2 linked regions of the Bombyx mori genome follow. The protein of the gene in region 1 interacts with the protein of each later gene in a pairwise test. Links are inferred from orthologs where the notes say so. Each region holds a gene or a part of one and is shown on either strand. Other genes may lie near its edges.

Evidence for each region.
Region 2: the proteins of JNK-interacting protein 3 (region 1) and kinesin light chain interact in binary tests that used the Caenorhabditis elegans proteins (3 or more experiments, as listed by UniProt). The link is inferred for Bombyx mori from reciprocal best matches to the Caenorhabditis elegans genes unc-16 and klc-2.

What each region holds. Positions count from the first base shown.
Region 1 is NC_085107.1:5,307,429-5,324,537, reverse strand, and holds part of JNK-interacting protein 3, read left to right. Parts: intron 1-631; coding exon 632-849; intron 850-1,874; coding exon 1,875-2,000; intron 2,001-4,112; coding exon 4,113-4,237; intron 4,238-7,248; coding exon 7,249-7,411; intron 7,412-8,906; coding exon 8,907-9,055; intron 9,056-9,970; coding exon 9,971-10,122; intron 10,123-10,898; coding exon 10,899-11,053; intron 11,054-11,780; coding exon 11,781-11,936; intron 11,937-12,478; coding exon 12,479-12,592; intron 12,593-12,962; coding exon 12,963-13,128; intron 13,129-13,888; coding exon 13,889-14,081; intron 14,082-15,007; coding exon 15,008-15,168; intron 15,169-15,990; coding exon 15,991-16,151; intron 16,152-16,593; coding exon 16,594-16,822; intron 16,823-17,109. UniProt on the Caenorhabditis elegans protein: The JNK-interacting protein (JIP) group of scaffold proteins selectively mediates JNK signaling by aggregating specific components of the MAPK cascade to form a functional JNK signaling module.
Region 2 is NC_085124.1:2,405,394-2,422,502, reverse strand, and holds part of kinesin light chain, read left to right. Parts: intron 1-7,503; coding exon 7,504-7,706; intron 7,707-9,085; coding exon 9,086-9,213; intron 9,214-9,535; coding exon 9,536-9,764; intron 9,765-10,248; coding exon 10,249-10,382; intron 10,383-11,112; coding exon 11,113-11,237; intron 11,238-11,304; coding exon 11,305-11,430; intron 11,431-12,296; coding exon 12,297-12,375; intron 12,376-12,558; coding exon of another isoform or gene 12,559-12,593; exon of another isoform or gene 12,594-16,073; intron 16,074-17,109. UniProt on the Caenorhabditis elegans protein: Kinesin is a microtubule-associated force-producing protein that may play a role in organelle transport. The light chain may function in coupling of cargo to the heavy chain or in the modulation of its ATPase activity.

The sequences.
Region 1 (17,109 bases):
AGTTCTATATAAATTTTAACAGCTTTCTCTAATTAAATTAACATAATTATGGTCAAACAATAACATGTCCCGCTTCTGTTAGTCGTTTAACTAATAATATAATCATGGAATGTGTATTAATAATCTCACACATTACGCCGCGGCGCTGCGTGAACCGCGGCATCGCACCGGTCATTGCACAATGAGCTCATGACGTCATCAGCTATCTGTCTACCCAATACGCGTGGCTTCGTATTCCAAACGCCATAAAACCTAGTGCAAATTTAATAATATATCGAAATCCATTAAGCTTTTAAAAAAAAGGTATACTGCTTGATAACAACGTATGTTGTTGTATTGTATATGTTTTTTGTAGTATGTCCATTTCCAGTAAAAAGGCTCTGAAAGAAGCCATATAAAAAAGGTTACTGCTTCTATAACAATTACCATTAAATCGAATCGCATTAACTAATATTGTTTGATCATGCGTTGTACTAAACTAATGTATCATTTGCAATTCAGTTTGTTTATTCACGTCACGGAACATTATGTAAAGTGGTCATTTATAAACGTTCATTAAATAATTTCTAATTTTGTATTATATTATTGTTATCTGTTTACTTTTATTAATTGAATAAACGATTTCCGGAAGGCATGGGGAAAGAAGTCGAAAACTTGATACTGGAGAACAACGAATTATTGGCCACGAAGAACGCTTTGAACGTTGTCAAGGACGACCTTATAGTGAAGGTGGACGAGTTGACCGGCGAACAGGAGATGCTTCGAGAAGAAGTGGCCAATCTAAGTTCGGCGCGAGAGAAACTTAGAGATCGGGTGACTCAATTGGAGGATGAATTGCGACGTTTGAAGGTATTTATTTTTAATACGCTTTTATTAGCTTCAGACGTATGTATGTAACGGAATCTTTGAACATGATTTTGACCCCGTTCAAAACGTCGGATAAAAGTTGGACCGATGTCAATTCAATATTAAAAAAATATTGAAAAAATTTTAATTCAACTAAAAAATGAAAAATAAATAATAGTTTAAAAACAACTAACAAAATACGCTTTTATAGAAAATCCGACTAAAAAATAGAAAATAAATGTTAGTAAATTTAAATTAAAAATAGAGTAAGAAAAAATGACTTTATTGTAAAAAAAATGCGTGAGGTGCATGGTAGTTATAAATATTCTATGAACAGATATGAGTAGAAAGGTTATTTTGATAATATCCTGAAAAGCACACCACGATTTTTACAATAAAATCATTTGTTCTTACGGCGGTACTTTCATTTCTGAAACTCTTATTTAGTTTGAAGACTAATTTCTCTGACAACTAGTTGCGCGATTTTTTTCCACGTGCATTTACGGTGGTCCAGCACTTCAAATATAAGCATGCCGGTGGTTCTGACTAACGGGTAGGTGTGATCGACCACTTAGTTTGTCTTTTCTCGTCGACGTAACTTACTCCTATCAAATTTTAGGGTTTTCATAAAATTGTATATGGAGGTAAAATACCGGGTAGGTACCGCCACTCTGCCTATTTCTACTGTGAAGCAGTAATGCGTTTCGGTTTGAAGGGTGGGGCAGCCTTTGTAACTGTACTGAGACCTTAGAATTCATATCTCAAGGTGGGTGGCGATATTTACGTTGTAGATGTCTACGGGCTCCGGTGACGACTTAACATCAGGATGGCTGTGAGCTCGTCCACCCAACTATGCAATAAAAAAATAAAAAACTGGTTAACAATTATGCGCTTAAGGTTCAATATTGTCTGATGTCGACAGCTCATCTATAAGTTGCATTCTACACACTGTAGCGTTGCCTTACAATCAGTAAATTAAGTATTTCATGAAAACTTCATTTATTAATTATTGACTTTGTGATTTAAAGGAGGCGATGAGCAACAACGCCGGCGGTGGGGACAACGAGGAGGAAGCCGACGTCCCGTTGGCGCAGAGACGCCGCTTCACGCGCGTCGAGATGGCACGTGTCCTCATGGAACGTAACCAATATAAGGTACACGCAAATGCTTTAAAGTAGTTGTACCCTAAAAGATAAGACGGTCGGTGCACTCGTATCGAGGGATGCAACAGGGCCGATGTTCGAATCCCGCAGACAGGTACAATTTTTTTTGAATTTAATTTAAATAACCAACGTTATTTAGGTCATGCTCGCGAATGGCTTCCGCGATGAATGAATAACATTACGTAATAAAAATTAAACTCGTAAAAAAATAATCGTGTAAAGTACCTAATGTCTCAAGATTGGTAGGGCGATATTCACATTTCGGTGTCTAGGAGCTCCAGTAAGTGCTTAACGCTAGGTGGGCCGTGAGCTTGTACCCTATTCTAATATGTAAACCTATAAAATGGCTTCGTATAAACACAATCATTACTTTAACCAATAAGAACGGAAAGCTAGTTGTTTGACTTTGGGCGCGGAAGATAGTTTCAACGAAAGCTGACCTCGTTCTTTATCACAAATGTACAAAGTGAATGACTTTACCCAATCAGTTTTTAATATAACTATCAACCGACATGAACATGTAGTATTGTGATTTGTCTTCTATACGCCAATTCAAAGGTGACTTATAATATTTACTTACACTCCTCCTTCTCCTCGCGTCGTTTCCTCACTGCTGAGGGTCGTGACCATTATAATTCGACACGATTTTACGCCTTGTAATGTCCCGCAATTATTACTTACACATATGCCTTAAAAAAAGGTTCTAATTTGGAGCTAACGTTACTGTATGCGTTTTGTCATAAGCAATATTCCATACGAAAATATGGATTTGATTGTGAAAGACGATGTTTTTGTATACTAGTATTTTATTTATTTATGTAATGTACCATAACCTAGATGCGGCGTAATACTCGGATTACAACCCAGTTCGATAAAACTAATCAGTAATTTTAATTTAACGTAAACTAGGTCATATTTTAATTAATGTCTCTTAGGCTAAAACCCTCTGACCTTACTTGAGTGTCTATTAAGTCTAATTACTTTGTTCATCTGTTGTTTAGTGACGTCACTATCACTATAACTATTTCGAATTAGAAAAAAACACTACACTAACTCAAAAGACTTAGTATCCTATATTACAGAAAAAAAAGTTTTTACATATAGCTGTTTTTGGAATAACTTGATTCAAAAACACAATTTTTAATATTTATTTCAAAATATTGGTTACGGTCAATTTCATCACACAATAAAATGACAAATAAGAATAGGTTAGGTTTGTTTGTTCGTTGCAATACTTTTTCTATGAATGAATTTATTAAGTCAAGTATAAAAAGTCGAAGTGAACTAGTTACATAATTGACAATGCCCCCGGGAATTATCTAGCGAAGTTAAATTCATGAATAATAATAATAATAACGACGGGATCCAAATTCAGTCCCAATTTAGAATTCCCTGTGTTGTGTGTTATTATTATTACTAGTGGTCCCCCGGTAGTTGAAACTCGACGATAATTAATTGAAATTATAAGTTTGTACACTATTATGATTCTATTTTCAAAGACTATTATATTTCTTTATTCACAGATTTCGCCAAGACTACACTATAGACAAATAAATATTAACCTATTCTCAATTTCACCACAGACTCTAAGCAACAAAAGTTTGACAATAAACATAGAGTATACATATATGTGTGTTTTTATTTATTGATTTAATGTATTATTAACGCATAATTAAAAAAAAATAGCATTCTGCACTCCTTCTCTATATTCTGTATAAGTGTGGGAAATTTCATACTCATTCATCCACGCAATTTTCGTAAAAATTGATACAAAGTTTTTGCTTCACCTATTAATATATAGGTACTTATATATGTTTAAATATTTACATATATAGATAATGAACGCCTAGACAAAGAGCAAACCAACCTGTTCATCAGACTAATGTTTGAATTAATAACGTTTTTATTTTTTATTGCTTAGATGAGTGGACGAGCTCACAGCCCACCTGGTGCTAAGTGGTTACTGGAGCCCCATAGACATTTACAACGTAAATGCGCCACCCACCTTTCGAGATATAAGTTCTAAGATCTCAGTATAGTTACAACAGCTGCTCTACCCTTCAAACCTATTAAAACTAATAAGAGTTGTCGTATTTTTTAAAGGAACGATTAATGGAGCTTCAAGATGCCGTTCGCTGGACCGAGATGGTTCGTGCCAGTCGCGTGGACAACTCCATCGACAAGAAGAGCAAGCAGAGCATATGGACTTTTTTTAGTAAACTATTCAGGTACGTTCGAATCAAATTGTACGCGGAGATAAGTTTTCAGTCGTCTGAGTCCGAAGAATGTCGAAGGTGCTCCCGCGTTTGCACAGGTATTTCTTTCTCGCATTTATTAGATCACGTTTGGAGAACGACGTACTAAAGTGTAGTTTTTTCTGAACTGAATTATACTTGTGGTTCATTATTTCCTATTTATTAACCTTTCTCAGTGACAGCAGTGGACTTCGCCAGTCTGTGTGTTCTGTAGTTCTGTGAAAATGTTTTTTATAGTCTTGTTAGAAAATCAGACTAACTTTACTACTATTTTCGGTTACGATTCAAATACAGCCCGCGAATGTGAAGATGAAATTCACTAATTTAGACGAGCAGACACATGAAACGTCTGGCTTTAAGCTCATAATGAAGTCCATGGAAATTATTTAATTTATCAAATTATAAAATCTCGCAGAAGTGAATAATAGTTATGTATAAAGTAAATTGGATTTTGTCATTTTTAGGAAGGTTTATTATGTTAATGGCTAAGTATTAATAAAAATGTTATGTAATATTATGAAATGTCTTCATAAGCTGTCAGTGAGTGTAATAGAACATTCTATGAACGCTTTGTTCTGGATTTACTAAAAATCACTTAGACTATACTATGTTCGACTATAAAATAGTAGATTTTTCTAGAAATTAACAAACGGCCAGAATATTTCTTTAAATTGAAGGTCATCTACTGAACGCGTAATGTTTATACCCCGATATACCAAATCCAAATTGGATTTTTTCAGAATTTATATCTGTGCAAATGTATCGTGAAAATGTTGTTACCGCGATTCACGTTATTGAAGGAGTTCTTGTAGTTTTAATAACAGGCGCTGATCAATGAAATTAAATCTATTAAATAATATGCCCATTAACACAATCAACCTTTCTGTTAATTGTATTTCATGGCTAATTTGCGAATGTATTAAATTGTTTATACATAAAGCGAATTTATTGCTAATGCGAACTTTATACATGGTGTTACAAAAGCTGCATTATCTCTGGAAGGTATTTATGGTATCGAGAGAGTGAACGCATCTTGACATCAGAAGCCTATTTTTTTTTTTAATTGCTTATATGGTTGGACGAGCTCACAGCCCACCTGGTGTTAAGTGGTTACTGGAGCCCATAGACATCCACAACGTAAATGCGCCACCCACCTTGAGATACAAGTTGTAAGGTCTCAAGTATAGTAACGACGGCTGCCCCACCCTTCAAACCGAAACGCATCACTGCTTCACGGCAGAAATAGGCTGGGCGGTGGTACCTACCCGTGCGGACTCACAAGAGATCCTACCATCAGTAATTACGCAAATTATAATTTTGCGGGTTTCATTTTTATTACACGATGTTATTCCTTCACCGTGGAAGTCAATCGTAAACATTTGTTGAGTACGTATTTCATTTGAAAAATTGGTACCCGCCTGCGGGATTCGAACACCGGTGCATCGCTTCAACACGAATGCACCGGACGTCTTATCCGTTAGGCAACGACGACTACAAAAAATCGAAAAACCTTGAAAATTGAACTTTATTCTTTCTAATGTCAAGGCATAAAAATAAAATTATGATTTTGTATTTATATACGTAACTAGCGGATCCGACTACGTTGTCCTGTAATGCATACACATAAATTCATTCAAGCCGATCCAGCTGTTTAGTTGCAGTGTAGATAAATAACCTAAATACCGACTGCAGCGCCATCTGTCGAGCCAATTTGTGACTCTGAACCATCTAAAGCGCAACCCAAGCAAGCGAATACAAAAAAAATCATTCAAAGCCGCTTAGGAGGAGTTCAGTGACATACACATATACAGTAGAATTATATAATATATAAAGATTAGCAAATCGGTAAACGTAGTATAGGAAGTGAGTAGGATGTCCGGGCAGTAGATGGAGACTAGAGGCATATGTCCAACAGTGGACTATAATAGTCATTAATGATGTTAATGAACGTATGTAAATACGTGCTATACTTCATATGTTTGATATGACGCTGATGATTATAATGAGGCCCTGATAATGATTATAATCGCCCCTTAAAGTGTTTATTATGTGTATGTTTTTTTTGTAATTTTTTCGAGGTCTGGTATTACGAGAAGAGCCTAGTGAGCCTAGAGAGAGAATAGCTGAAAATACAATAAAAAGAGGAGAAGATTTAAAAATATTTACAAAATTATACTAGCGGTACTAGTTACATTACTGAAGGGAATTGAACCAGCGACGGTTTTGTTTTAAATAAAATCTTATTATTTATATTACATAATTAGTCAGATTAGGGTTAAATAGTCCTAGCGATTTGTCAGGTTATGTGTTTTGAATTTATGTTTAATTTTTTTAATCGAAAATTCGAATGCTTATACTTATCGCCTTGAGAACATTTCGAACTTAATGACTCTGCTTTGTAATTGATCAAGTTTGTTTTTAGATACCCTAAGACTGCCTCAAACTTTTTTCATCTCATGATTTAAATAAGAACCTTTGAAAGAAAATCTGGTTTCATATATTATTAAAGCTTTTAGTTTTCACGTGACGATTGTACAATGGTAAGTTAGCTCAGTAGATATTCAATCAATTTGTTTGTATGCTTACTGTTATTTCTCGTTGTAAAACTATTCTACTCCTAAATTCCTTTTCCTACCTTTATAACATACATTTAGTTAGTTATGCGTCTTGCGTAATTCTTTTATTTCATTTATTTTCATTTATTTTCATTAACTTTTATAGTTGATCATTAGATAATTGTAGTAATTCTTAAGCTCTAGGAAATTATATGTTTAGTGCTTCAATTTAAACGCGTCGTTGTTTGTCAATTTGAAAGTTTAGTTAATTAAATTGGAATCGCATTGCACGATCAATGTTTTAATGAATGTTTGTTAATGATGTTTTAATTTTGAGCGTGTAGCGCAGAGCGAGCTATATGTGTATTATTTTTTTGATAGACCTTAAACAGATAGGAGTTTAATGTTGTAATATTGTGGAATTTACAGTTCGAACGATCGTCCACAAAGACCGCTTTCCACTCCTCATCTAAGAGCCGTGGCCGCCTCACAGCCTACGATGAGACATTCACAAACCCAAGGCGACTTCTTGGAGGCGCAGCTTTCCGACCACCACCAGAAGCGACACGAGAGAACCGAACAATTCCGACAGGTAAGATAAACTTTTATAAGAAATGTTTAACAGATATAGACAGGCACATTTTAGTTTATTCATTGTTTTGTTGACTTTTTATTTTGTTACATTGTTATGTTGAATATGCGTAACACGAATATAAAATATATAATCAAATACGATAAACAATATTAAACTTATAAAAAACTTTTTTCGATTTAAAAAGTCAACATAACCTTGGTTGTGTTGAAAACATTAACGGCAATATTATGTTACGATATTTCTGTTTTGATACGCAGTTCTACGTTGATCAAACTTTGAAATTAGTAAAAATAATATATTATATATATATATATATATACACAATATATAATTAAATGAATAAAACTATCCAGAATATGACAGAAAAAAATTTCTATAGACAAAAAGAAATCGCTAGACCAAATGAGACAAACATAATACTTGGCCCGATTATATTTATTTTGTACTTAATATTGCTGTTTGTTATATTTCATTATTGCTTATCTTCGCTTGGTCTTTTGAATGTATTGATTGCGCTTTGGTTCCTTTCCTCATTGCATAATTTTTGTGTACATTGATTTAGATTCGAATACAGACTTCATATTCTTCTACTAGCTCGCTTTCGATTGAGTGTCGTGCCAAAGAACCTAATAATTTAGTTGCACACGTGTTTTTTAGATTATTTTACAATATTAACATTCCCATACATTGATATTGACGTTCCGTTATATCTGTGCACTGTCAGAGTCGTTGAATACGCATGCAATGTCCATATGTAGCTCTGCATCAAATTATATATTTCCTCTTACGCTCGCTTCTGTTGGTTTAATCTCTTCTTGTACGTTTTCGACGTACCTACTCGTCTTTTTATTTATTTCTTTTTACCCTTTTCCTGTACGTAATCTCCTTTACCTTTCTTTTGTTTGCAGCCAAATGAATGACGGCCTCAATTTTAAATGAATTTAATGTTCAAACGAACAGTGATATGATGAAATAGTGATGTAGGATAGTATCTTGTAAAGTGTCATTTAGCATATTTTAATTTACGTTATAACTGCTATTTTAATGTAGTTGCTTTATTCTTACGTTCGTCGTTTTGTGATGTTTGATGAAATAAAGTTGTTATTTTTAGTATTTGTGTTTTTTTATTTTTATTTTGCGCTCTTGCTATTATAATTGGCTCCACTATCTATCATGTGCCTTGTCAATTTCGTTTTGTGTTATGTAACACTATGTACACAAGTTTTGAGATGTCACTGATAACTTTTATAGCGATGTAATATACTTTAATTAAAAGAGTGTAATACCTCTTGAATTTCGAATGTTATTCATTGAATAAAACAGCCATGAATAGCGTGTCATTACCGTGTATACAGATAGAGATATAAAATAATTTGATAAACACACATGAATAAGTTGTTTTTATATTATAATTAAATCGAATTGACATGTTCTTCCTCAAGACGTTCATGTCCGTTACGATGTTGTTACCAAACCGAGTGGTGGGGTGTAGGTGCGGGTACATGTGCGTAAGGAAGACGGGCGCACGCACGCTTACGGTTGGAGTCTCCCGGGGAAGAACAGCCAGGGACAGAAGGGACCGAGCCCCTCAGCGTCCCTGTCGTCGGGGGGAGTTCCGGTACCAGTTCCGGTTTTTTGTCGGTAATGTTTTTTTTTTTGTATAGCACGCGATTTTTAATCTTATCGCAACACATAGATATGATAACGTAAATGCCGCCGTTCACATTGAGGATATGAAAGGGAAAGCCGACTTGTAACACTCGCATACTGATCGGCACAAATGATTATCTCACTTATAGACACTAGTATATTGGGTGTATAATCGATTGTTTTCTAATTGAAATAACCCAATCTGAAATAACGAAGGGAGTTATTAAGATCAAAATGTTTTTGTTTGTTTTTAACTTCGACACAATCACGTGCCCGGTTGGTAAGGTGAGTAGTCGTTATTAAAAACAATCGGAGATTTCGAACTTATGCCTCAAAATATAAGGCAGTGTCCACGTTGTTATGTCTAGAGGCTCATGTAATAATTTCATACTAGGCAGGCCATAAAGTTGCCGTACATAATTAATTATAAATTATGTCAAAGTTTTTTGACCAATTTTAATATAATTGATCGAGTTGTTAAAATTATAAAGAAATTCGATCATTTCAATCAAATTTTGATAATATATATCAAAACCAAAGTTGAAATATTGTAAAAAAAGTAGCATTTTAAATAACCCCTTTGAACTCATTTTTACAAATAACCTGTTGTTTTCTGATTTTTAACGCTTTGGTTCTGTCTTTTTTCCCTACCTATGCTGATAGCCTTAAGAGGCTATTTCAGCTTCGCCCTAACATGTAGGTGAGCTCACGGGGCTCAAACCGGAGTGGTGCTAACACTGACCCTAGCAAGAGCAGTGCTTCGTAGAATCTACCATCGGTTCGGAAACGCGACCCACTGAGAAGATCCGGCGAGAAACTCAGTGGGCTGTGTCTGTGGAAGTTCTGTCATATCTCCCTCTAGGTCTTGCATTGTAAAATTATTTAAACACAAACATTTTGTAATAGCCCGATAGCGGAGAGTGAGCCGCGTATGACTCTGCTGTGTGCGGCCGGCGTAAACCTGAACGGAGGTAGGACTCCGGATGGAGGCTGCATGATTGGTGAGAGCGTTTTCTACGCAAATGAAGACGATAAGACGGAGAACAATATGTCCTTAGGTACGTATAATAAAGTCAGTTAAGATTTGAATGGTATATCTCGGTCAAAAGTGAGACTGATTCCGTCTTGAGTTTTTTTATCGTATTTTCTAGAGTAGAGGTCGGAGGAAGTGTTTGAGATTCCGTCGTCCGTCTGCTAAGAAAGAGTAGAGGTCGCCAAGGAACCAAGCCTCTGGCATTGTGGATGTTTAAGAGTGCCCTTAACAATTTACCTTTAGTTTGGCCGTATAAAAGCGCTTTTCATTGATTGCACGAAAATCGCGCGCTTTGCTAAATATTGCTATAAAGTCTATGGTGTGGAAGTTCAAAAAGCAAGGGCCCAGAACTATTTTAAAAAAATGCATTAACGAACAGCGTCACGATAACAAAATAATATGTTTGTAATAAAATAAACTGACTTTAAACATCACCTCTCGAAGCAGGAGGTGACATTTGAAAAGTGCCTATTGGTAAAGAATAATTTTAATAATCTTGAATTAAAAATAGGATAACTAAAAATTATTTTATTGTTTGATTGTATTGAATGATTTTGTTAGTTTTTTTAAACTATTATTTATTTTTAATTTTTTAGTAGAATTTAAATTTTTTCAATGTTTTTTTAAATATTGAATTTTCATCGGTCCTTAATAAGTATACCAAATTTCGAGTTAATCCGACGTTTTGAAGGGGGTCAAAGTTATGTTTAAAGATTCTGTTACATGATAACATACATACTTCTGAAGCTAATAAAAGCGTATTAAAAATGACATAACTCTATTTCCAAAAAAAAATTACAGCCTACGAGATGAGCAAAGCGCAGTCAGCGCATTCTCCGGAGGTCGAGCAGATCAGCAGACAGCTGCAGTCAACTCAGAGCGTGGAGTACACTGAAAAGAATCTGTCCTCGTTGGTTTGGATATGTGCTAGTACACAGGCTAAAGGAGTGGTTATGGTAATTAAATTTAGATTTTAAAAAAATCATGAAATAATCGAATGTTAATACATCGTTCAATAACACACCCTTAAATTGATTCAACCATTGCTCAGAGTGTACCAATAGACATATGTATATTTATTAACGAATATTCATTTCGGATCCTCCCGATACGTTAACGGTGCTTTTAGGTACCACAAGCACCGGTTACCGTCCTTGTCGAACTCGTCGCTTGCGACGAAGGGCTCGACGAGTAAATTAACCCACAGACACAGACCATTGAGTTTCTCGCCGGATCTTCTCAGTGGGTCGCGTTTCCGATCCGGTGGTAGATTCTGCGAAGCACGGCTGTTGCTAGGGTTCGTGTTAGCAACGTCGTCAGGTTTGAGCCCCGTGAGCTCATCTACACGTTAAGGCGAAGCTGAAATGGCTTCTCAAGGCTATCAGCGTAGGTAGAGAAAAAAACGAATATTTATAATTTAATTATTAAAACGATTTATAAATTTACAATGCTCAGACTCAAATTTTTAAAAATCGAATCCTGTAACGTTTTCTTAGATGTACCCATATTCCTAATAATACATTTAAAATTATATAAACACAAATCAACGTTTCCATAGGAAGAGGGAGCTTTTAGTGGCTAAAACGTATAGCTTTTTTGTTCATTATTAGAGCATCTATCATAGGTTTCCCTTGCACTTACACCATTAAATCATATATTAAAAGTGTTCTTTATTCTGATTAGATCATCGATGCGAACAATCCGGCGGACGTGATCGAATCCTTTTCAGTGAGCGATAAGCATATTCTCTGTGTAGCTTCAGTGCCTGGTGCCACTTCAGAAGATTATCAAGATTACGAAGAACGAATGTCTGGGGACACCGAAACGAAGCGTCATTCGGTAATACTTGGCTTTGGTCTTAGTACTCGGACGCAAAATTGGATCGCATCGAACATTATACTGGTGGTAGGACCTCTTGTGAGTCCGCGCGGATAGGTACCACCACCCTGCCTATTTCTGCCGTGAAACAGTAATGCGTTTCGGTTTGAAGGGTAGGGCAGCTGTTGTAGGTAACTATACTTGAGACCTTAGAACTTATGTCTCAAGATGGGTGGCGCATTTACGTTGTAGATGTCTATGGGTTCCAGTAACCACTTAACACCAGGTGGGCTGTCAGCTCGTCCACTCATCTAAGCAATAAAAAAAAAAGCAAAATTTCAAAGTCTAACACTTTTTTCCTGCCGATTATTCTGATACTATTGACACTTTAAGCTCGTATTGTATATATTTTTGTAGTAGCTACTTTCACGCCGTGTCGTCTATTAGTGCGGGCGAACCACTGAAGAAGGTGGCAGTTTAATCTACATTAATTAAAACAACGTTTTATTTAATTTTCGAAATTGGAAGGACCCGTGTATTTAATTTGTTTTTTTTTTCGCCAGTCGTTGTTATGCGTGGGAAAGAGTGAGTCTGTGGAGAGCCAACCTAATGGCCCCGTCGAGGACACGAACACGGAGAACACTGAAAACGAAACTGTAATTGGAACTACTAAATTGGTAAATTTATTTGGTATATATGAGTCGTCTATTATCAAAGGTGGCAATCTGTGCATTTGGACAAAAAAATGTTATTGATATGTCAATACAGATTGATTTGAATATAATCGTCTCCTTCAAAGAATACGGTTCAAAACCTGCATTAAATAAAGGTTAATACTTAACCTGTTATTTATCTAAGATGTCGTTCCGAAGAGTTTTGTGACTGACCAATGGAATACAAAGACAATAATTCGTTTTTATGATTTACCAATCATTGTCCAAAAGTCAGATTGCCGGCTTTGATAATAGTCGACTCATATACGATTAATTAAAAAGCTAAGTTAAGTATAGTTACAGACAGTAATAATAAAATTCTCAATTTTCGTAGATAAAGGCAACCCTTCTAACTCCACCGAGTACTCCCGTGAAGGAGCCAGAAGAACCAGCTGCTGATAATGACGAGAATCCCAAAGAATCGATGGTCAAGAATGTTGAAGACGAAGCAGAGAACGACGGTCATGACAGTCCGCCACTAAGCTCCACTCCTAATAATGGTAAGAAAAATCTAAATATTCACCTTCACTTTTTTTTATTGCTTTGATGGGTGGACGAGCTCACAGCCCACCTGGTGTTAAGTGGTTACTGGAGCTCATAGACATCTACGACGTAAATGCGCCACCCATCTTGAGATATAAGTTCTAAGATCTCAGTATAATTACAACGGCTGCCCCACCCTTCAAACCGAAACACATTACTGCTTCACGGAAGAAATAGGCAGGGTGGTGGTACCTACCCGCGCGGACTCACAAGAGGTCCTACCACCAGAAATTACGCAATTAAAATTTGCGGGTTTGATTTTTATTACACGATGTTATTCCTTCACCGTGGTCAGTCAATCGAGAACATTTGTTGAGTACGTATTTCACTAGAAAAATTGATACCCGCCTGCGAGATTCGAACACCGGTGCATCGCTCAACACGAATGCACCGGACGTGTTATCCTTTAGGCCACGACGACTTCATTATATCGACGCTTGAAAGGCAAACGTGACTGAGCGACAATGCGTGAACTTTACAGTAAACTTATTTAAAGTTGAAATACCTGAAAAAATTATATTTTAACGAATCTAGCTGTAGGCTTGAAATGATTTTAATAGACCTAGAAATATTTTTTTTTGGGCATCGAATATGGTTATTGCCTATCATTTATGTACAAAGCAGATATTGTCGCTTAGTCACGTTTACCTTTCAAGCGTCGATGTTCATTAGTATAATTCCTTCGACCTTTGATATTTAAAAAAAATATTGTTACAGTAACGGAGCCATCGGTCAGTTCACCGGAGCCCGGATTGGACGCGTTCGCACAGGAACAATCGAACGTCGAGAACCGCGGCGATGTACCGGACCGAAAGATGTCCACCGTGATGGCGACGATGTGGCTAGGAACCAAAAACGGAAACCTATACGTACATTCCGCAATGGGAAACTACAGCAAGTGCTTGGCAAGGTACGTACATCGGATATGTTACTTTAACATAAATTGATAAATTCAATAGTAATTGAGTTATCTATATATTGATTAATATGTGAAGCAAAAACTCTGTGCCACTTTTTAGGAAAATTGCCCGGACCGAGTAGTATGAAATTTCCCACACTTATAGGGAATATATAATATTTAATAAAATTACATTTAATCAATAAATAAAAACATCACACACACTACCATGTATTTGACACAACACATACATATTATTATGTTTATTGTCAAACTTTTGTTAGTCTGCGCTCAAATTGAGAATAGATGAATATTATTTGTCTATATATGTCTTGGCGAAATCTGTGATTATAGAAGTTTCATAATAGTCTCAAACTTATAATTTCAATTAATTATAGTCGACTTTCGAGTATCTTATTCACCAGTACTATATTAATACAACAATGCCTTGTTGCTATCGCTGAACTATATTAAAATATCTATTTGTTATATGGTAAATGGCGACATGTGTAGTAGTTTAATGGTACTAAATCAGAACCTTTCTCGCGATTTTCACATTAAGTAATTGTCGACTTAAATTATCATATAATAAAAAAAGAACGTTCAAAGATACCCGAGCTACGTATCATTGTTATTGTACGTTGTATGTTTAAAAAATTATCGATTACTAGCTGTACCCGTCCGCTTCGCTGGGCATTTAAAATTAACATTAATATTTCTCACCCCCACAAAGATTCTCATCATTAACGCCCCCGCAACTGATGTAGGGAGTCCAACACTCATATAAATATTAGCCTATCCATTAAGTACATGTATTTTCTAGATGGATACCAAGTTTCAAGTCAATCGGATGTACGGTTCAGTAGTTATAACGGAACATCCGTAAAAACCACTGTAGATTTATATATTAGTATAGATGTGTATTTATTATTTAACAGGATCAAACTGAACGATGCTATATTGGCCATAGTGTCGTGTGCTTCTCGTTGCGTGGTCGCTCTCGCTGATGGAACGGTAGCTATATTTGCCCGACTTGCAGATGGACAGTGGGATTTCACTCAGTATTGGCTCATGACTCTAGGCGATTCTAAATGTTCAGGTAATTTTAATTAAACACATTTTTTTGTCAAAAATTTTTCGCTTAGAAATATTAATTGGTTTAACAACGCCATCATTAGGATGACCTTGATATTGATTAGTTTCGGTTTTGAATATCTTTAGTCCTCATAGGTCACTTTAGACGTCGTGGCCTAAAGGATAAGACGTCCGGTGCATTCGTTTTAAGCAATGCACCGGTGTTCGAATCCCGCAGGCGGGTACCAATTTTTCTAATGAAATACGTACTTAACAAATGTTCACGATCGACTTCCACGGTGAAGGAATAGCATCGTGTAATAAAAATGAAATCGCAAAATTATAATGTGTTTCGGTTTGAATAGTGGGGCAATCGTTGTAACTATACTGAGACCTTAGAACTCATATCTCAAGGTGGGTGGTGCATTTACGTTGTAGATGTCTTTGGGCTCCAGTAACTACTTAACACCAGTTAGGTCGTGAGCTCTTCCATCCATCTAAACAAAAAAAAAAAAAAATTGCCAACTTAAGCATAAGAGTTATATTGTAAATAGCTGACCCGGCAGACTTCGTAGTGCCTCAATCGATAAATAAAAGACCTAAACTTTTGTATAAACTTAAAACAAACAAAAGGAATCCGTCCGACGGGGGATTTGTATTTAATTCCGAGCATTTTCATATTTATTTACCTTTTAAACCTTCTCTGGACTTCCACAAATAATTTAAGACCAAAATTAGCCAAATCGGTCCAGCCGTTCTCGAGTTTTAGCGAGACTAACGAACTGCCTTTTTGATATATATAGATAAAGTTCAGATTTACCCATAATTATTTTGTGATTTACAACAGTGCGATGTCTCAGTGCGGTCGGCTGTACGGTTTGGTGCGGTTACCGCAACAAGGTCCAGGTGATCGATCCTCGTACGAGACAACTACTTCACACCCTCGAAGCTCATCCTAGACAAGAGAGTCAAGTGCGACAGATGGCGTGTCACGGCGATGGAGTATGGGTAAGGAATAATTGCATAAAAATGGATTGTTGCCATCGAAGAGGCTTTGAAAAAATGGGAAGAATATATTTTTTTTAGCCAAAATTTTTTGACTTCCCTGGCTATTTCTATTGGCTAAGGTTTGTGTCTTGGGACTGCGCTAATTGTGCAAAGTGCTCGTCGCCCGAGCGAAATCAACTTGCAGAATTAATTAATCGCGTAATTATTGGCGTTAGCGTATATCGTCACTCCGGACGGGCTGTCGCCATTATCTCCCTATCGGTGTCAACAGCAAAACACTCACTGATTCCAGTTTGAGTGTTAGTATAGCCGTTATACGATATAGACTTTTACCACATTTTACAAGACTGACATACACACTGACTGACTACATCGATTAACTGCAATGTCCAACCGGTTAATGAAAAATGTAATTTTTTATAAATGAAATACACATTTTTAGGTATCGATAAAAATGGACTCCACCCTCGGTCTGTACCACGCGCACACATACAAGAACTTGTGCAACGTCGACATCGAACCGTACGTGAGCAAAATGCTCGGAACGGGCAAACTTGGATTCTCTCTGGTCAGGATCACGGCGCTTCTAATCAGTTCCGGGCGTCTTTGGATCGGAACCAGCAATGGGGTTGTTATATCCGTGCCACTGTCCGAAGCTAATCGAGATCCGAGTAAGTTTTTGTTTATTTATTTTTATTGCTTAGATGGTTGGACGACCTCGCAGCCCACCTGGGGTTAAGTGTGTTTCGTTTTCTTTTGTATTAAGATGAAAAAGAAAAAAAATATCCGGACGCATTTTTGGTGGTAGGACCTCTTGTGAGTCCGCACGGGTAGGTACCACCACTCTGTCTATTTCTACCGTGAAGCAGTAATGCGTTTCGGTTTGAAGGGTGGGGCAGCCGTGGTAACTGTACTGAGACCTTAGAACTTATATCTCAATGTGGGTGGCGCATTTACG
Region 2 (17,109 bases), on another chromosome or scaffold:
CTTTTGTTCTAGACGTCTGTGGTCAAATTGAGAATAGATTAAATATTGTTTGTCTTTATTATTAATCTTTTATAGTGTAGTCTTGGGGAAATTTGTGATTATAGAAGTATAAAATACAATCATAATAGTGTACAAACTTACAATTCCAATTAATTATAGTCGAATTTCGACTACGCGGGACCTCTAGTATTTTAGAGTTCAGTAAATGAATACATTGAATACGTTTGTCGTGTGTGTACACGTGTAGTTTGAATACGACATGTGCTCGGCTCACTTGTGACCGCGTGTGGTTGCGTCGCCGGCGACGAGGATGCATTTCAATCCTGTCCTATGTTGCTTTAAACGATCATGATATCGTTGGATCTGCTGCAGGGAATACCATGAAAAAAAATATTAGTTTTTAAAGACGACGTTCAAACTAAGCAAATCTGTGAGAGCCATCTCATCACTAAACACCGGTTAAATATTTTTGCTGATCAGCGGTGTGGCATTAACTAGCAACAGAAAATACTGTCATTACCATTCTCGTGTTTTTTAATTAATGATTATATCGTATTAAAGTCGTCGTGGTCTAAAGGATAAGACGTCAGGTGCATTCGTATCGAGCGATGCAACAGTGTTCGGATCCCGCAGATCCCGCAGGTGGATACCAATTTTTCTAATGAAATACGTACTTAACAAATGTTCACGATTGACTTGCACGGTGAAGGAATAACATCGTGTAATAAAAAATCTAACCCGCAAAATTATAATTTGCGTAATTACTGGTGGTAGGACCTCTTGTGAGTACGCACGGGTAGGTACCACACCACCCTGCCTATTTCTGCCGTGAAGCAGTAATGCGTTTCGGTTTGAAGGGTGGGGCAGCCGTTGTAACTATACTGAGACCTTAGTACTTATATCTCAAGGTGGGTGGCGCATTTCTATGGCATGTCTATGAGCTCCAGTAACCACTTAAAACCAAGTGGGCTGTGAGATCGTCCATCGTCCACGTAAGCAATAAAAAAGGGTGAATGACTATTTAATTTTGGTTATTGCGATATTTTTGCAATATTACAGAAGAGCCATTTAAAGCTTAAAATTTGAAAAAAAACCATAACTAATAAACTTCTTCAGCTATTTGAACGGAGTAAGCTTAATTGAAGTTCAATTAAAAAGGTCGAGTTATTGATGCTAATATCAAATAAAACGCACCTTTAGTTACAAAGATAAATGTTGCGTATTAAGCGGAATGTCGCTTAAACCGAATAGCATTTCACCTCACAGTATTTATTTTCTTTCTGCGTGAAATGTACCCAAAACAAGCAGTATACCCGCGAGCGAAGCCGCATTTAAAAGCTAATAAATTATAAGGAAATGTTTCTCGGTGAATACACGATTTTAAAAACCGAATGTCGATATCGGTGTTACCATATAAATGATATTACTTTTCTCGTTTCAATGTTGCTATTTAAATAAATCTAATAGCATTTCAACGCTCGATATGTTAATAGAAAATATAGTGCGATAGTCAGTTATGACGTATCATATTTCGAAGCGATCCACACCGACTTTACGATGTCACTATTTCAAAGACCACAGCCTTAAGGCGTGCTGCATACACTACCCTAGTTCCTTTCAATGCGTAGTGTACTGGGCTGGTAGCTTTTAAATGGAACGTCATTTAGGTCGCGCTCTACCGAAATGGGCTTTAAAACTGAAGCTTTTTTGTGTCACAGATTACATTCAATCGTACAGATTGAAAAGAAATGAGTTTTTTTTTTAATTCAGAATTTAAAATGATGATTTTTTTTATTGAAGTACTCTTTCACTGTTGCTTTTAAATCGTAATAACTTTATCAACGATTCGGAATACAGTTTCGCCGCTGAAAAGAATCGGCAAGAAAGTCAGGGTTTGCTCTTTGCCAAATTTATATAGGTACTTGACGCACAAAATTTACAATATACTGTGCAACCTTAATATAACGGTGGTAATTTACTGGTGGTAGGACCTCTTGTGAGTCCGCACGGGTAGGTACCACCACCCTGCCTATTTCTGCCGTGAAGCAGTAATGCGGTTCGGTTTGAAGGGTGGGGCAGCCGTTCTAACTATACTGAGACCTTAGAACTCAAGGTGGGTGGCGGTATTTACGTTGTAGATGTCTATGGGCTCCGATCACCACTTAACACCAGGTGCGCTGTGAGCTCGTTCACTCATGTGCGAAAAAATAAACAAAAAAAACGAACCTCAATATAACGACGTCCCCGATTAAACAAATTCGTTATCCCCTTGAATTATTCATAAGAGTCAATGTAAAATATGCCTTTACATTGCGAACAACCTCTTTATAACGAATTTTGTAAACTCAAAACCTTCATATAACGTTCCCAACAATATGACCCTTATTCCCATAGTGTGTAAATCGGTCTCGAAAGGTTTGAGAAAAAATGTTACCTACCTAATGGTTTTTAAGTAGAAAAAAACATACAGTAATTTGATAGAAATGTGTTATCATTTATTAGTAAAAGTTGATAGTAAGTTGAAAGTGATTAGTAAGATGAGTATGTAATGTTGAAGTAAATAAAATAAATTTTTTTTTTACCTCGTTATAACAAATGGTAGACCAACCTAACCTTAATATAACAAACCTCAGTTTACCGAATTGCTAGATATAACGAATATTTACTTGTTCCCTACCGATTTGTTATATCGAGGTTGCACTGTATTATTAAATAGGTACGTGCAATAAAGATGACTTGAACTTGAAGAAACTTCTGAGTTAATTATCTCTGGCACAAGATCTGTTCGTGCTGTGGCCATGTGGAGCATAAATTCTACGTACTTTCGTCATTAACATAGTCGTTAACTGTCTAATGAGCCCTCGTTATTAAATTACTTTTAAATTTAATTATGTTCTAAAGTTTTTGGTGAAATAGCCCTCGGGAATTTGTTAGGTTGCACTGTATTATTAAATAGGTACGTTCAATAAAGATGACTTGAACTTGAAGAAACTTCTGAGTTAATTATCTCTGGCACAAGATCTGTTCGTGCTGTGGCCATGTGGAGCATAAATTCTACGTACTTTCGTCATTAACATAGTCGTTAACTGTCTAATGAGCCCTCGTTATTAAATTACTTTTAAATTTAATTATGTTCTAAAGTTTTTGGTGAAATAGCCCTCGGGAATTTGTTAGGTTGCACTGTATTATTAAATAGGTACGTTCAATAAAGATGACTTGAACTTGAAGAAACTTCTGAGTTAATTATCTCTGGCACAAGATCTGTTCGTGCTGTGGCCATGTGGAGCATAAATTCTACGTACTTTCGTCATTAACATAGTCGTTAACTGTCTAATGAGCCCTCGTTATTAAATTACTTTTAAATTTAATTTTGCTCTAAAGTTTTTGGTACAATAGCCCTCGGGAATTTATTATAATAAAGTGTGTAATTGTTTTGTGGCCGTTAAACACTAACCCGACGTTTCGACCGATATACATAATGCTTCAGAAATATAAAGGTATTGTACCAAGATAGACAAGACGAAGCTAAATTAGGAGAGGACTATATTAGTACCACAGACGGAAGTTGGAAAAATTCGTGCATTTTTTTTAAATCCCTTTTTAGTGGTTTAAAAGTTCCTCCTACGTTACTGTATTTTTTTATTACATAGATGGGTGGACGAGCTCACAGCCCACCTGGTGTTAAGTGGTTACTGCAGCCCATAGACATTTACAAAGTAAATGCGCCACCCACCTTGAGATATAAGTTCTAAGGTCTCAGTATAGTTACAACGGTTGCCCCACCCTTCAGACCGAAACGCATTACTGCTTCACGGCAGAAATCAGCAGGGTGGTGGTACCTAGCCGTGCGGACTCACAAGAGGTCCTACCGCCAGTAAAAACAATTCTGCCAGACTGGCAGTGAATGGAATCTGTTGTATGGTAGATATGGATATATCAAGGTACAAATTACATTAAACAGTAGATAATAATAAAAAAGATATTACATATCAATTTACATTCTGAAGCTCCAGCGAAGTAAAATGAATTGTTAATAATTCTGTTTTTTTATGTTTGCGTGTTTCAAATCTCCAGCTAATAATAATCAACGAAATTCTTTTAAGTGGGTAATATTGTACATAAAACCGCTTCGATTACTGAACCATTTTCTGGTCGATAACATGGTAAACGGGCAAAGCTATAGCTTAAACTTTCTGAAGAAACCATGGTCATAGATGGGCACCACGAGCCCCATATTATTATAGTTTAGCAGTTTTCGATTTCTTTCCATCGTCATTGATAAGAAATTAAAATGTTTTTATTTTCGTATAAATGTTGCGTCGATATTATTGACCAACTCGCTGAGTTTCTCGCCGGATCTTCTCAGCGGGTCGTGATTCCTATCCGGTGGCAGCTTCTTTCGTGAAGCAGCTGCCCTTGAGTTGTTAGATTTTCTCCGTAGGCATTCAAGCAGCTGTTAGCAAATCTCCTCCTTCCTGGCTGAGCCTTTTCTCGCCTACCTACCTGTCCTGGCAAAAAAGGCCACTGAGCCAGGTTATCTTTCCTCTCAAAAAAAAAAAAAACTATTGACCGCTGCCATCCTGTTATTAGTACAAATAATTTTTCATAAGCCACAACTAAGGGTGACCAATTTTAGCAGCGGATCTCGACGCTTCAGCTAAACTTCATTGGTAAAAAGCTTACCACGATCATTCTAAAAAGGTTACGGTAAAAGTTCGTCTATATTTCGTAAAAATCTAACGTAATCTAACCCAAGGAGGGTTGACAGCTCGGTGCTTCAACTGTAAATAAAAACAACAAGCTATGTAGTTTTCCTTACTTCTATGTTCGTCAAGCTATAACAAACCATTCATCGGGGTTTTAAAACCAAAAAATGGAACGAACGCATCAAAAAAGATAACACTCTGAATTGAGAACCTCGTTCTCTTTTTATTTGAAGTCGGTTAATAAAAGAATTTTCGATTGACCACGACTCGTTAAACCTTACGAAAGTATTCCTTATTATAATATTAAGTTGATCATACTGAACATTAATATTTATCCAGTGACTTTTTTTTATTGCATAGATGGGTGGACGAGCTCACAGCCCACCTGGTGTTAAGTGGTTACTGGAGCCCATAGACATCTACAACGTAAATGCACCACCTACCTTGAGATATAAGTTCTAAGGTCTCAAGTATAGTTACAACGGCTGCCCCACCCTTCAAACCGAAACGCATTACTGCTTCACGGCAGAAATAGGCAGGGTGGTGGTACCTACCCGTGCGTATTCACAAGAGGTCCTACCACCAGTAATTACGCAAATTATAATTTTGCGGGTTTGATTTTTATTACACGATGTTATTCCTTCACCGTGGAAGTCAATCGTGAACATTCGTTGAGTACGTATTTCATTAGAAAAATTGGTACCTGCCTGAGATTCGAACACCGGTGCATCGCTCAACAAGTATGCACCGGACGTCTTATCCTTTAGGCCACGACGACTGTATCACGACAACCCGTTGCCATTCAAGGTTATTGTCCTTGACCTAGAGGCAAGGTCGAAATCTCTAGTGCTTGAAGATCGTACCTTCTTATGTATACTGAATTGAATACAATCAAGAGTTCGAATGGTATCCTACGTACTTTGTAATCGAAAGGTCTTAGGTTACGTCGGAATTGAACCTCATGACTCAAAGAGGTTGAGAACATTAACGTTGCGATTTCCATGAGCTCCGACAACTATTTCACAGCAAATGAGCTAAAAGGTCGTTCATTCATCCAATGCAATGGGCTCGTGTCTCTAAATGCTCAGTTTTTTAAAGAACTATAAAAAATATTTTTAAAAATCGATCGAGAATCGTTCCGTTTCCGTAATGAACCTAATTCTAGAAATATCATTGCCAACTGTCTCGCGTATCGAGTTATATTTAACAAACCCAGAGAAACAGGTCTGAGCATCGACTAAAGTTATTTGCTGTTGCTGTGCAGGAACCGAAGACGGTTTTGTTCGAATTCCCATCGAATGCTTCTGCAGCCAGCAGTTAATATATCTTATAACTTTGACAACACTCTAAGCGTCCTTCTAAGTAGATAAAATGAGTGATGTTAACCTTCATGAAATTAAACCAAAGAGAAAAAATATGGAGTTAACCCGCAAAATTATAATTTGCGTAATTACTGGTGGTAGGACCTCTTAAAAGTCCACGCGGGTAGGTACTACCCTGCCTATTTCTGCCGTGAAGCAGTAATGCGTTTCGGTTTGTTAGGCTGGGCAGCCGTTGAAACTATACTTGAGACCTTTGAACTTATATCTCAAGGTGGGTGGCACATTTACGTTGTAGATGTCTATGGGCTCCAGTAACCACTTAACACCAGGTGAGCTGTGAGGCCGTCCACCCATCTAAGCAGTAAAAATAAAAAGTTGACTGCAGTACTTAAATATTTTTGAGAAAGGATATCAAGTGAGAAAAGTTTTTACTGATACACTTCAGTATCTTATTATAATTAAAAGGTATTTCATTGGCATTTAGGGTATAATCTCGGAGGAAGTACAGGGCTGATCCTCTGATATTATTTTATCTATATTTAATAGTAGGTGAAGCAAAAACTTTGTATCCCTTTTTACGACGTAATTGCGCGGACGGAGGAGGAGTATGAAATTTTCTTCACTTATAGAGAATATAGAGAAGGAGTGCAGAATGTAAATATTTATTTAAATTATGGATTAAAAATACACATCAATAACAAGTCTTGGCGTAATCTGGGTTTTAGAGTAAAATAGTCTTCGACAATAGAACCCAAATAATGTTCAAACTTAAAATTTCAATTAATTATAGTCGAATTTCGACTACTGGGGGACCACTAGTTATACATAATTCGTCTTTTCGCATTAAAAGTGTACAATTTTCTAAAATATTGAGTTAATATGCGGAATCATTTGGTATCACCAGTATTTTTCCTATAAATACTGTCAAAAGAGCGTTTTTTTTTAGTTTACCTATTTTTTGACTACTATTGACAAAATTAATACATAATTTTATCTTACTTTAAAAGACAGATAATGCAACTGGTAAAAAATTAAAAATAAATGTAGCAAAGATGATTAATATAAAAAATATCACATGTTACACTCTCCTGTAAAATTAGTAAGTTTTGAGATTATACAATTTTAATACGAGAAGACGAATTATGCTAAGCTTTTAACCTTAGATGGGCTTTGGATAGCCTGCCGACCGAGAGGGCTGGTGGTCGTGGCGCCGACGACCGCCGGCCCGGCGTCCCGAGGGGGAGGGTGATGGGAGAGATGTGCTCCGCACTAAACGCTTCTCTTTCCCCCCTTTGCCTTTCCATAAGCTCTGTCTCATGCGAGGTTCGCATGCTGGTTGTTGAGCGACAGGAGGTTTTAGTCGCTTCGACTCCGACATGCCCCGCCCTCCATCCCCAGTGAAGGGCGAAAGTCCGGCGTTTTCCTCCTGACAAAAAAAGAAGCTTTTAACCACATTTTTATACCTTTTCCTACAGGTAATGACGGCTCTGGCATCTCACCTTCAGTCCGTCGAGGCAGAGAAGCAAAAACTCCGCACGCAGGTCCGCAGGCTGTGCCAAGAGAACGCCTGGCTGAGGGACGAGCTGGCTGCAGCTCAGCAGCACCTGCAGGCTTCCGAACAACGCGTAGCACAGCTGGAGGAGGAGAATAAGCATTTGGAGTTCATGGCTTCCATACGGTAAGACAAAAAACTAACGTACATTAAGAATTAAATCTACAAATACTTGTGACAATTTTTTTAAAGGATTTTATGACCTGGTAACTAAGACCTTTAAGTCATATCTTACTTTTTTTATATTCTTAATTATATGAAAAATGATAATATAGAGTGAAATGAAATGAAATAAAATTAAGATGATTAATTTGAGATCAACTGGGATGAAATTAAATGAAATGATATGGGATGAAATATTGACTGAGTGAATCGATTTTGATGATTCTTTTTTTTATTAGAAAGCTGACGCTCCCCGTGTGGTCCCATTTCAATTTAGTCCAGTTCTGATAATGGTACCCATGAGAAAACCATATAAGTCTTAAATTTGCATTAAGTACGTGCGCGACATAATAGATGAATAACTCAATAACTCAATATCACGCCAACCGATTTCGATGATTATTGTTTTTAGTGTATATTAAATTGTTTTGGAATATCTAAATCTAAAGCATGTCTATTTACAATTATTTAAAATTATCATCATGCTGTATGTTGCCATAGAATAACCTACCGAGCTATGGAATAAAAAAGAGAAAATACGGTTAACAAAAACTATTAAACCGTTTTGTCCTCTGCCTATTAATATAAATAAATATTCAAGAAACACTTTCAAAATGACTTCCAATTAATGGAAAAAGATTCGAGAGTACAATTATTAATGTTACCCTATGACATCATGAAGGGTAGATAATAACAAAATCAACTCTGTATCGACAAATGTCTGTCACACACAAAAGTTTTTATTCTATTATTAATATAGGTTAGCGATTAACGTATGTACGTGCCACGACGTTTAAACTCATTTATAAATTTTGTATTTGACAATTTACCGTATCTAATCCTCATGCGATACTAGAGTCGACTAGTATCAAAGCCGGCAATGTGACTTTTGGACAATTATTGGTAAATCAGAAAAACGAATTATTGACTTTGTATTCCATTGGCAGTCACAAAACTCTTCTGAACGACATCTTAGATAAATAACAGGTTAAGTATTAACCTTTATTTAATGCGGGTTTTGAACCGTATTCTTTGAAGGAGACGATTATATTCAAATCAATCTGTATTGACATATCAATAACATTTTTTTGTCCAAATGCACAGATTGCCACCTTTGATAATAGACGACTCACTAGCGCCAATTTGGACATTTCGTAAACGGTTTTTAAGTTTTAAGCATTTTGTCGGTTTAATCCTCATATTAGAAAGGTCTCCTTTATCTACCCTCCGTAGTATGGAAATGATTTTGTCTCCGACGTAAATGTCGATAATACTAACGATTTTATTATTGAGAAATATTGAAATCGAATTGATGAATGAAAGCTCATTGTGGATTGTTGCAGTAAATACGACAGCGACATAAACGAAGAGTCGGACAGTAACCGTACAGGTCAGGGCGAGAAGAAACGCGAGGACCCGATGGTCGAGCTGTTCCCTGACGATGACCACGACGACAACAGGAATAATAAATGTAAGGAACTGCTTTAAATGCTGCCTCTTCGGACGAGTCCACAGATTGTCAGTGATGCTGTGTTTGTGCCTCACGTGTCTCAAAGTGGCGGATAAGCATTCATTATGTCTATTGTAGTAACATTACTGCAGCACTGGTACAAATGAGTAATAGTCTTTACACTACACGGTCAGCTGCTGCGAGCTCTAGGCGCCGCCATATTGGTCTTGGCTGCTCTGACGAGCGCTTTTCACTTTATCCCTACTCCGCGGCCGACCGTCCCGCGACATGCAACACACAGACGAAAAAGTTTGAGAAGACGACAATGTAAACAATGTTACAGCGATGTCGCCGACGCCGCCGATGCACTTCGCCCAGCAAGTGAACGCCGGGTACGAGATCCCGGCCCGCCTGCGCACGCTCCACAACCTGGTCATACAGTACGCGTCGCAGGGCCGGTACGAGGTCGCCGTGCCCCTCTGCAAGCAAGCACTCGAAGACCTGGAGAAGACTTCGGGCCACGACCATCCCGATGTCGCCACCATGCTGAACATACTGGCTCTTGTTTACAGGTCGTCAAATGAAACTATTTTAATTTTTGCTTACAAATTCTTTTTCGCTAAATCTATGTCTGTAATAGATTTTTTTATTGCTTAGGTGGGTAAACGAGCTCACAGCCCACCTGATGTTAAGTGGTTACTGGAGCCCATAGACATTTACAACGTAAATCCGTCACCCACTTTGAGATATATGTTCTAAGGTAAGTAGTAAGGTAAGTGAGTATCTGTAATCATTTAACACCAGGTGGGCTGTGAGCTAGTCCACCCATCTAAGCAATTAAAAAAAAATGCTTGTATAATCTTCTTAATATATAATTTAAAAGGCCTGTATGTAGTCTGTGAATATCGGTTATACACAGGAGTACATTAATGATTCCTTTTACGACACCAACGGGGAGAGGTTGGGGTGGTCGGGGGAATATTCTAAGCTGACACTGCAAACTAATTGAAATTTTATTCTCTAGCATTAAAACTCATATTGTATTTGGTATTGTAGAGACCAAAACAAATACAAGGAAGCCGCCAACCTGCTGAACGACGCTCTGTCCATCCGGGAGAAGACCCTCGGCGAGAACCACCCCGCCGTGGCCGCCACGCTCAACAACCTCGCCGTGCTCTACGGGAAGCGAGGTGATGATTTCTCTACTTCTGCATCCAACGTTAGCTTGGGGGACACAAGAACTTTAACCCACTGAGTTTCTTGCCGGATCCTCTCAATGCCTTGCGATTCCGATCCGGTGGTAGATTCTGCAAAGCACTGCTCTTGCTAGAGTCAGTGTTAGCAAATTTTGTCAAGTTGAGTCCGTGAGCTCACCTACCAGTTAGGGCGTAGTTGGAAGAGCTCAACATTTCAAAATGGTTAAAGTTAAATTGTTCCCGTCATATCTTCAAGGTACATGGCAGCATTTACGTTGTAGATGTCTATGGATTCCTTGGCTCGGGGCTGTAAGCCCACCCACATAAGAAATAAATAAATAAAAATATTTTTTAAAATAAATACTACTAAAATTGTAATCTATACTAATATATAAATGTACAGTGGTTTTACGGATATTCCGTTCATAACTACTGAACCGTGCATCCGATTGAATTGAAACTTGGTATCCATGTAGAAAATACATGTACTTAATGGATAGGCTAATATTTATACAAGTGTTGGACTCCCTACACCAGTTGCAGGGGCGTTAATAATTAGGCGTCTTTATGAGGGAAATAATAATAATGTTAATTTTAAATGCCCGGCAAGGCGAACGGGTACTCTCTCTAGTAAACTAATATAATTAAAACCCTTTATACTTAATACTTGTTTTCTTACTATTAAGTTTGTTGGCGCGTGTGTAATGGATGTGTGTGGTTGCAGGCAAGTACCGCGAGGCGGAGCCGCTGTGCAAGCGCGCGCTGTGCATCCGCGAGGCCGTGCTGGGCCGCGACCACCCCGACGTCGCCAAGCAGCTCAACAACCTGGCGCTGCTCTGCCAGAACCAGGTCCGCCCCCGCCCCCAACCCCCCGCCCCGCCCCCCGACGCTCTCTCACGTCACGCGCTCGTTCCAGAACAAGTACGAGGAGGTGGAGCAGTACTACCAGCGCGCGCTCGAGATCTACGAGAGCAAGCTCGGACCCGACGACCCCAACGTTGCCAAGACCAAGAACAACCTCGCCTCCTGCTATCTCAAACAGGCGAGTACACATTTGTTTATTTACCGGTACACCGCGGCAGTGCAGCTGTGGGATTTAGTGTTCATTAGTCAATTCATTGTGTCTCCAGTGTGCTTAGTGCGAGTTTTTAACGTTCTATGCAGTTGGAACAGCGCCCCTAGCGGCAAACGTAGGCAACGTTCCAACTGCATACAAATTTGACTTAACTTTTACGCTATCGAAAACGTTAAAAAACTCGTACTAAGCACACTGGTCTGAATGTGTAGTAACTCACTCGTTCACTATTTAGTGTCTTTGAATTTGTTCAAATATAAAAAATTTAAACAAATTCCCTGAATGTTGCTTCTAGAGTTCTCCGATGTCTAAGTGACCTATACTTGAACATTATTTAATGTCATCTCATGTAACATTGTTATATCCATTTTATGTATTTTATTGTATAACTGTTTTGTAAACACTAAATCAACGCTAAACATCACTATTTACTTAAAATAATTGTAATGCGTATAGTGCTTGCTATCTTACAACAAATTAGAAATAATTTTGGATGATTTCAGATGAGTTGCGTTTTTTATTTTATTTTTATTGCATAGATGGGTTGACGACGAGCTCACGGCCCACCTGGGGTTGAGTGGTTACTGGAGCCCATAGACATCTACAACGTAAATGCGCCACCCACCTTGAGATATAAGTTCTAAGGTCTCAGTATAGTTACAACGGCTGCCCCACCCTTCAAGCCGAAACGCATTACTGCTTCACGGCAGAAATAGGCAGGGCGGTGATACCTACCCGTGCGGACTCACAAGAGGTCCTACCACCAGTAAAAACTAACACTAAAGTAGAGTAATCATTAAAGAATGTATAATATTTGGGTAATTCTTTCGCAGGGCAAATACAAGGAAGCCGAGACTCTCTACAAGCAGGTGTTGACGCGGGCTCATGAACGAGAATTCGGAACCATTGACGGTAAGTGATCATTATTCTCCAACGGTCACCTGCCAATAATTAAACTTTATAAGGTTTTTTTTTTGCCAAAAAATATTTTATTATTATTTTATAGCATATTTTGAAAATTTATATTTTTATATGAACGTAGAATGTACACATAATTCGTATTTTAGTAAAATTTATTTTCGTTTGCATTTTCAGAATATATAGCATCGTTAAAAAAACCTAAAAAATAACATAACCCAGCACCCGTAGCTATAAGCGTTCTAAGAGAACATAGAACTTAGCTAATTAATCTTTAAGGTATCGTTCCGAGGTAAAAGTGTTATGCGTGATTCAAATAAATATTTACAATGTACATATTAAATATTCACCTGTTTATATGAAATCAATTCGATGGTCATTATTTATAACGAGTTATACGTTCTATTTCCTACATTCCCAACTCGACTGATTGCTAAAGTCTTACCGAATAAGAAATTGAATATATTTTAGTATACGAACATTTTTCAACGTGCAATATTCATATATAAAGGAAAAAGAATGACTTATAAAACTGTGCCTTAATAACATAATGAATATATTAAATATAATAAATGCTGAAGATTTCTTATCTTGAATTCCTTGAGAAACAAGTTTCTTTACAATTTTCTGTTCATGTGTTAGTCCGGGGTAAGCTGCTACCTTTTATTCACTTTAAATCCAGTGGTTTGAATGAATTTGTGTCTAAACTAAAGCTGCTTTCAGATTACGCTATACCAGCAGTCGGGGAACAGGGGTAAAATGAAATTTTGGGGGGTAAAAATGAAACTTTTGTGAGTAAAATGTTTATATTGAAGTGAAACTTCTTTAGAATCGTTGTGATTTCAAACTCGATGAAACGAAATGAAACGAAACGAAAAAATAATATATTTTTTCAAAATTATCATGGGGGCTATAATATGAAAGACGCTAAAAAGAAGCGATTTCGTTTTTTTTTTGTTCTTCGCCATGGGTTAATTACACAAAAATATTTTGGGGTAATAAGTAAAAAAGTTCCGCGACCGCTCCGCTGTACTATAGTGCCATATAGTATAGCAGCGTATATTACGCCAATAATATATAGTACAGTACAGTGTGAACATGTCCATAACAATGTATGGTGTGCGATATTGTTGTGCTATGAGCTATATACTACATGCTATTATATTATAGCGTAGTCTGAAAGCGGCTTAAAGTGAAAACATTATGAGAAAATTCAAAAAAATTTTTTTAATCATGACTACATATCGAGGTGTTAAGGTTATTTGGTTTAAGTGACATTTTTGGAACGAAGTTCCTTACGGCAGGCTTGGAGGGATAGGGATTTTGCTGCGCGACCGAACTGAAAAAAATGTGATAGTAAAACCGTAAGAAAAAATCCGTGGAAAAAAGTGCGTGGAATAAAACCGTTATATGAGACGTGCGCAGGCGCGACAGTCGCATACACAAGCGAGTAGTGTATAATACCTTTCTCTTTCTCCCTCTTTCTTTTCGTTCTCTCGTCCATTCTCTTTCTATTTTACGTAATTTATTATTTCCTAAAATACTGAATTTCCTAAATACTTTCCTATACTTAAATAAAAACTAATCAGCAAAATTTAAGAGAAAAATCAAGAAAACCTACATAAAATTGAGTACGATTTTTTTTTTGCAAATTGTGTCGATTCTACATTAGCCGAAGGAACTTCGTTCCTACCTGGTGTCCCACGATACCACATTTTAATTTTGAAAATTTACAGAAGAGTCATTTAAAGTTTAAATTTGGAAAAATATCATAACAAAAAATACCTTCTTCAGCTATTTGAATAATGGAGTAAACTAAATTGAAGTTCAATTAAAAACATCGAACTGTGGATGCTAATCTCTATATATAAAAATGAATTTCTGTTCGTTAGTCTCGCTAAAACTCGCGAACGGCTGGAGCGATTTGGCTAATTTTGGTCTTGAATAATTTGTGGAATTCCAGAGAAGGTTTAAAAGGTTAGATAAATATGAAAATGCTCGGAATTAAATAAAAATAACAATTTTGTTTTTCCTTTGATGTGTCCCCTGTCGGTCTTTTATTTATCGATTGAGGCACTACGAAGTCTGCCGGGTCAGCTAGTACCAAATAAAACCCACGTTTAATTACAAGATAAATTTCACTTAAATCAAATAGCCTTTTACCCCTGGATATTTACTTTCTGCGTAAAAGGTACCCAAAATAAATACTATGACTGCGAGCGAAGCCACGTTTAAAAGCTAATAAATTATAAGGAAACGCTTCTCGGTGAATACACGATTTTAAAAACAGGGTGTCGATAGCGGTGTTACCACATAAATGATATTATTTTTTCTCGTTTCAATGTTGCTATATTTTATTCTTGAATCCGTTCGCGCTATGCATTTATTTATTTATTGTATACAATTATTTTAGGTAGATAGGTAGCTGTCGTTCGATAAGAAATTATAAGAAAATACAAAAAAAGAGGCTATAGATGTAAACTGATGTTGCTATTTCAATGTTAGACTTATGAGTTCTGTCTGTGTTATGAGATCTCTTATGTGCATTTGTTAGTTTTTCTTGCTTTTATAATTATTTAATGTGCTACCGTCTTTCATGTATAGGATAATTTTTTTTATTATTGTTACACGGTGTTGCCAACATTACAGATAAACGTGTGAAATGCAATGAAATGTGTGAGCTATTATCTGAAACTCCTATTATGTTATAAACTTGTCGCTTAGAAAAATCATTGGAGTATATTGTTTAAATAATTTATTTCATATATTCTCTAATATAAAGAAGGAATGAATTTTCGGACCGTACTACGTGATGATATAAATGAGATATGTACTTAATGTAAGAATAGTTAGAGATGAACTTTGTTTTTAACTAACTCACCGTTGCTAGGTTCCGCAATAGAAATAATTTGTTTTCCAATCCCGCAATGTAACGCAATGTAACTTGGCGAATGTGAAATATTCAATCCTCAGAACTGTGACGAGGATCTCCCTCCTGACTACTATTGATCACTTATCAATTTTATAGCTTCAGGTAATAAGTGTTATTTCGTCTCTACCGTCTTTTTTAAAGAAAGACGATTAGTTAGATTTCTGTAGTATGCGTTAATGTTTGAGAACTAGAAATAGAAATGAAAGTGTCGCTCGTTCAAGAGCTTGTTATTTAGTAGCAAAAATACAAGCTTCTTTTCGAAAAATTTGTAGAAAATGGTGCGCAGTAAATTATCTCTCATCGGGTTTTTTTTTTGTTCTGTCGAAATAAACGAAATTTTGTTAAAACTAAATATTATTTATTCATGATTCTGAATTCAATTATCATACATTACATAATATTTTTTTATTAAATTTGAGATAATGTATTAATGAAATAAATTTCTCAAAGACTTATATCGCTTTTAAGAAGCTATTAAATTTCGATGATGAAACGCTTGCCATATTTCATTTAAAAAAAAAACTGTTATGTAAATAAATATGAAATATCGTGATGTTTTTTTTAATGTTTTGAAAATATTTTATTTGCTTCGTTGCTTAAGACCACCGTTTATTTTATGTATCAGTTTATTTGTTGAAACCAAAATGCTTTGCCAAAAAAAATATTCGCTGAATTTTTTGTATGTAAATTTTATTAAATAAAAAATATTGTTGATTTAATATTTAACTAAATATGTTTATTAAACGGTTGTATTATTATAGTCTGTTGTTTTGTTTGCTCAATAATGCTTTTTATTTTCTTGTTGTGATATAGGATAACGAAAATATATATTTTTTGCCATGTTTTTAGATAAGCAATTTTCTGGAAATGTAAAGAAAAAGTGTTTTTTTGTGAAACATGTGTGCGCTCAATAATGGATTGATAAAAATATGACATTAGGTAAGTGACACAAGTTTGGATTTGTGTGTGGCACAGGTAGGAAAGGCTGTATGGATGTAGATTCTTTTACTTTTTTTTTTTTTGTTTGTTTTTTATTTGTTTATGTTGTAAACGTCAGCTGTTGCCAATTGTGTCACACCTTCCCGACTTGTGTCACATATAGTTTGTAATCTGTTTTTATAACACAGGGTGATGGATACTTTGATGGCCTTTTGATTGTAGTATGAACTAGCCTTTATGTATTAATATGTAAGAAATAGGAGGAGGGAAATAAGATGAATTACATCAAAATTTAATCTTCAGTATCTGAATAAAGATTTGGTACACTAATTTAGTCTGGAAGAAGAAGAAAGGTTATGGCGGGTAGAATAATTGTATTAATATCTTAATAAAAGGATCATGTGGTTGCATTAATTTTATACTACTTCGCTCTTAACCACAGTAGTGTTACTAATTTGTAATTAATGAAATTTCTATTTACTATTCAATTAATGTTAATTCTGAAAACGTTTTATTTCAAGCATCCGTAAATTAATTATTATTAGTATCAAATATCGTCTTCTCGCATTAAAACTGTATAATCTAAAAACTTACTAATTTTACAGGAGAGTGTTTTAAAAGTTTAACATGTGATATTTTTAATATTAATCATCTTTGCAACATTAATTTTTTATTTTTTACCAGTTACATAGTCTTTTAAAGTAAGATACAATTATGTATTAATTTTGTTAATAGCAGTCAAAACATAGGTACACTAAAAAAACTAAAACTACATTACGCTCTTTTGACAGTATTTATGAGAAAAATACTGATGATACCAAATGATTCCTCATATTAACTCAATTTCGAATATTTTT